Linked DNA regions of Xenopus tropicalis. The protein of the gene in region 2 interacts with the protein of the main gene of each other region in a pairwise test. Links are inferred from orthologs where the notes say so. Each region holds a gene or a part of one and is shown on either strand. Other genes may lie near its edges. The genes, in order: cby1 and fam92a.

Evidence for each region.
Region 1: the proteins of fam92a (region 2) and cby1 interact in binary tests that used the Homo sapiens proteins (3 or more experiments, as listed by UniProt). The two-hybrid records come from large-scale screens. The link is inferred for Xenopus tropicalis from reciprocal best matches to the Homo sapiens genes CIBAR1 and CBY1.

The regions. Positions count from the first base shown.
Region 1 is NC_030680.2:120,458,547-120,461,110, forward strand, and holds part of cby1 (protein chibby homolog 1), read right to left. Parts: intron 2,323-2,564; coding exon 2,208-2,322; intron 1,585-2,207; coding exon 1,479-1,584; intron 900-1,478; coding exon 787-899; intron 1-786. UniProt on the Homo sapiens protein: Inhibits the Wnt/Wingless pathway by binding to CTNNB1/beta-catenin and inhibiting beta-catenin-mediated transcriptional activation through competition with TCF/LEF transcription factors.
Region 2 is NC_030682.2:127,981,743-127,984,926, reverse strand, and holds the end of fam92a (protein FAM92A1), read right to left. Parts: intron 2,743-3,184; coding exon 2,641-2,742; intron 784-2,640; coding exon 754-783; 3' UTR 504-753; downstream 1-503. UniProt on the Homo sapiens protein: Plays a critical role in regulating mitochondrial ultrastructure and function by maintaining the integrity of mitochondrial morphology, particularly the organization of cristae.

The DNA.
Region 1 (2,564 bases), on a different chromosome or scaffold from region 2:
GTTTGTCTCCAATGATTAAAAATATGCCCCTAAATGTGTGTGTATGGCCAGCTTAAGGGTGAAGACAGACAGAGTTACTTGTAGCAGCTACTTGTCATGGCTGCTAAAATTGACAATGCTGATCGTTTACTGATACCTGTCTCTATGTGTGTTTTAGCAGAGTCAATTCTCAGTATTGTCTATGGCAGGGTATTTTCTGGTGTTTAATAGCCGTGAAAAAGTAGCTGCTACTAGTAGCCCAGTGTGTCTTCTCCCTAAGCGTTTATAACCTTCTCATTACATGGTAGGAATATGTTGGATTTGACTCTTCTAGACTTCCAGGCAAAAGAGACAGAATGCAATGTGGCACCCTTTGAGTGAATGACTGCTTGAGGAAAGTGGCCACATCTACTTTCTAGCAGGCCTATGAACCCATACATGATCTGATAAGGGGAAATGGGTGACTGCATTTTTCACTTTTATAAATCTAATCGTAGCACATAAAAATAAGAAAAAGATTTTGATCTCACTAGATAGCTAAAACATCCTATGAGGAAGAGGTGACATGTCTTTCTCAGCTAGCACCTGCCCTATCCTTTGTGAAAGCAATTCACTCCTCAGTGAATTCTACTGCATTACATATGTTCACATAAGATAATTAAAATCTACCCTGTGGCTCCCTTTTTTACAAGAAAAACTTTCTAGATACTGAAGGACATCTGCACCTCAGATCAGATGTAATCCACTGTAATTGTCTGTAACCTGCAACATAATATTGTTCATCGGAGATGACAATGTCACTCTTACCATATCCAGTAGGAGTTCGACTTTGACACGCAACAGGTTGTTTTCTTCTTCAAGCTGCTGGTTACGCTTGCGCAGCCTTTGAACCTCCCTCTGTGATCCAGTGCCCCCTGACTCTGCAATAATGGAGGGAAGAACCAATTAAATGAAGACAAAGGCCTTCATTTTTAGCAGTATACAAGGAGCAGGACTCAGCATGGCCTCTATTACAAAGTTTGGGAATTTATGGGGAATTAAAACTATAAAATCAGTGAAAGGCTCACTAACACCATGAACTGCCAATAAAATATAAATAATTGGCTGTGACAGTCCTTTTTTGTGTAAAAATGTAAAAAAAAAGTTTCATTGTGGGGGGGGTGTTAAAAAGTTTTGTTTTTTTTAAAATTCACCAGTGCACCTAATGACTGCTCACTAAAGCTGCTGTAGTGGTCTTTTGCAAGGTTTTTAAATGTAGTGAATTTTGTAGTGTAAATTTACAAAAGTATTGTATTGCACTAAAATTTCAGACAATCTCATCTGTCCCCAGATGTCTTGCACCTAGCTCCTATACAGTACTCCGTCAGCCCATTTGCCCCGCAGGCATGCACCAGGCCTGGATTAGGCTACTAGGAGGAAAAGAGCATAAGCCTACATCCAACTCAGATGCAAACTGGAAATCCCTCAAACTTAACAATAAGAACAAAAATACAAATTACCAGTGATCCAGTGTCCATTTTCAAATTTTAAGCTCTGGCCTGCAATGTTGATACTTGGGGAACCATAATCTAAACCCAATTCAACTTCTTTAGTTGTCCGATCCAGCTAGGAAGAAAAAATAAATGTAGTCAATTTTGCAAACCATATTATGTTTATATTCTTCAAAGTATTACTGTTTACAGTTTAATTATATGGTTTTATTCTAGAAGGAATGTTCATTGTATTAAAGGGAATCATGAATAAACAACAAGAACACCATCTTTAGCTGCAAACAACTCTCTTAGAATCATGGCTAAGAAGGTGTTTTTGGTGATGGAAATCCAATGTAGATTGTAAGCTCTTTTGGACAGGGCCTTCTTCACCTCTTGTATTTATAAATAAATGTTAATAATAATAACTACAGTGCAAATCCCCCTAAAATGCTGGTACTGTACAGGCAAATGCTGGTCACAATATGTGCATTTGAGCCACACATGCCATGACAGTGCGCACAGTGCCTCAACCTATTACACTTTTTCTGGTACAGGGTCCCATACACAGAGGCAGCAGGTTTGCAAAATAAAGGGTTTTCAGAAATTCAAAGTTTTACACTAAAATGTTTTGCATATCCTTGACTAATTGTGCAGAAGAACTGGGAGTTTAAGGGTTAAAACTCCTGCCTCCTCTGTTTACAGGGAAGTAAGGGTGTAAACTACGGTAGAAGCTATCACAAGATGTAAGGGACATACCGCGTGCAGATTAGACAGGGAGGCCGATTTCCTTGGTGGCACTTTTTTGGGGCTGAATGTGTTCCCGAATAGGGGCATCTTGCCTGAAAAAAATGTTGTGTCCAGGATTTGTTCTCTACAAAAAAAGAAAATAAAAGTCAACAAATTACTCAAAAAGAAAAGCATTTCTCATCAGATATTCTTTAAAGAAAATAACATTCATTAGAAAATGCTGAGCTGCGCAGAATCAGTGGCTTTTTTCATATGGCGTCACAGCTACAGACTTGTGTTAAAATAACAATAATAATTCTAACTGTTCTACTGGGGGAGTTGTGACGTACACTGGGACCAAAGTTGCCACATACCTTAACTCTGTAT
Region 2 (3,184 bases):
CCAGCAACTCGAATATTACCTCTACCAAACCATGATTCATCTCTAAAAGCACACTGGCAAAAGGGTATTTTTTAGAAGAGCAGGTTACCTCCATTTTCCCCCAGCTTTCCAGGCACCCCTGCACCTTGGTAAGACTTTTAGACGTGTCACATACACAGGACAGAACTCTTCAGAAACCTTTTGTACTATACATGCCCCAAGTCAAAAACACCTAACCAGGAGTAGTGAATACCAGCAATGCTGGGGGAAATTGGTGGAGGCCTGCCTTGCTGAAAACTATCCTGGGCTGATTGACTTTTTAAAGTTAATCAGCAGCTGTAGTCCAGTGGAACAACACTGCTGTGAAAGGGTGTATGTCCCCTTTAACCAATTCTACATGCTGACTGGTTGCTATGGGTTACTGCTCCAAGGCAAAGTTAGTGCCTTTTATTACATAACCCATGTGTCCTATTGCATTTAAGGCTAATAGCACCAATATGAAATCTGGGTTGTTTTGTCCGCTGTTTTTTTTTTTTTTCTCAAAAAGAGGCAAACTGCCCCTCACTGTTTATCAGCATAGCCAGCTTTCACATTGTTCTTGCACACTTGCAGGGAATTGCATGAAATAATATGTGAGGGGCTGCGTCTAAAGTTGTTTGCATTGGTCCCATATGTTCATCATGAATATTAATCTTTGGACCAAATATCATCTTCCAAAAGTCCGTTAGTCCTCTGCTCCTGGATAATTATGCCAGCTTTGTAGTTTTGCTTCCATTATTTTCTTAGAAATATTTCTACCTGTGACTGTAAATGTGTAAAGGAAAAATAAAAAGCAAACACCAATTTCCAAGCAGAAAAAAAAAACAAATGTTAAACTATTCCTAAAGTTAATAAACCACAAATGTTTCTGATCTTTCTTATACAGGAGCACATGAAAAGAAACTAAGAGGCACACTAAATTGAATGCTACGGAGCAAAGAGTGCACTGGATAGTTTCTATACATTGTAAATAATGTATTGCTTTTGTTAGGCGATCAACTTTGTTATACATTACTACAAACATACAAATGTGCAGCAGGAAACCACTGATGAACACTAAGTGCTACAGGTCACAGAATCTACATCCTGTGGCTAAAAGAACTCATCAGCATGGGTGCAGAAGGAGATCATAAGACTTTACAGCCTGTGATCTGCTTCTGTGTCATACCCCTGCCTCTAAGAAATAAGCAGAGTGTGGGAACAAACAGTCCCTAGGATAGAATTTCCCCAGCGGAGTAGGAAAAGAGCAGGCATGTGGCGCTACCCCTAAACATTTTGATTCACATAGCAGCTTTTACTTATGACTTATAAAACAAGTTTCAAAGGGGTTGGGTATGATGTATTTTTTATTATTTGTAGTTTTTTTTTTTAATTATTTCAGGTTTTTGTTCAGCAGCTCTCCAGCTTGAAGTTCCAGCTGCTATTTGGTTTCTAGGTTCCTAATTACCTTAGCAGCCAGGGTGTAGTTTAAATGAAAGACTGATATTTGAATAGGAGAGGGCCTAAATAGAAGAATAAGTAATATAAAGTAACAATAACAATAAAATAAAAAGTTTCATAGAGCAATATTTTTTTGCCTCAGGGTTCAGTGACCCCCCATTTGAAATCTGGCAAGAGGCAGGCAAATAGTTTAAAAAATATGAAAAACAAATAATGAAGACTAACTGAAAAGTTGCTCAGAATTTACACATATACAATTTTTATTGGCTTTTCAGTTCCAAATTGCTGTTGATACCTTTTTCTCTCCATGTAAAACAGGCATTGCACAGGGAGACTTTTCTATGGCCTTTAAGAGGGGCCTGGATTAGTTCTTGAACAAGCATAGTATCCAAGGCTATTGTGATACTAATATCTACAGTTAGTTTTAATGGTTGTATATATAGTTTATGTATGTTAGTGTATAGATTGTTAAGTATAGGTTGTGTGTGCTGGGTTTACTTGGAAGGGTTGAACTTGATGGACTCTGGTCTTTCTTCAACCCTATGTAACTATGTATTTGTAGAAGCTTATTTATCAAGTGGTGAGTTCTAACTTTTACCCACTGATAAATACACTTTTAAAAATCCCATGGGAATGAATAGAAAATGTGCAAGTATTTATGTATTAAGCTCTAAACGTATATTTTGATAAATCTGCCCCTATGTAATGATTTTGCTTTGATTGGTTTTACTGAATTATGCATAAAACTGCATTCTTCATTGCTTGTTTTGCAAGTAAAAATTATGGTTTCTACAAGCCACAGGTTTGTAATGCCAAGCATAATAAGTAACCAACCCTGCCCTGGTATTTATATTTTCACAAAACGATTTAGCAAATATTTGCAGATTGGAGAAAAATATACATTTACATATTTTGTTAGAACGGCTTACTTTCTAAAACTATATGGTTTTCTGGGGTCATCTTACTGTTAGGGTCAATTTTGGCCAATATAAACATGCTTACTTCTGGTGTAGTGTTTTGAAAATGTTTAGAGCCATATATCTTGTTACAGAACTGGGATTACACATTTAGAAAGCTTGCCTTATCTTGTAAAAAGAAAAAGTATTGAAAATGGTAGTATATGTTAATAAAGTCTAAGCATAATATATTTATTTTGCCCTTTATGTGGCATTAAAAGGATACTATAATTTGTCGATCTGATGGATTTCTCTGGCGAGTTTTCTCTAGCTGAGCCATTTGTTTTGCTTCCCGGTTCCTAGCAGTCAAGGTCACTTTGAGATCCTCCTATGAAATGATAAATATCAATGTTACTCTTATTCAGACATTCAAAAACATTCACAAAGTTGATCAATACTTTATAAAAAGCTGAATCTCTATTTAGAGAGATTTCAGTAGAGTACATGGGAATCACTGCAGTTTCACAGTTAGCTAGAAATTTTAGAAGGGCTTACACCTAAAAACTAAAATTAAGAGGCTACATTTCTTCTATACCAGAAAACACACAAGATATAATCTTAAAAGGCACTTTCTATGTGAAAACATATACATATGTATAAACAATAGGTTTTAAGCCAGGGATCCCCAACCTTTTTTTACTCGTCAGCCACACTCAAATGTAAAAACTGTTGGTGAGCCACACAAGCACGGGAAAAAGTTATTTGGGGATGCCAAATAAGGGCTGTGATTGGCTATTTCGTAGCCCTATATGGCCTACAGGAGGCTCTGC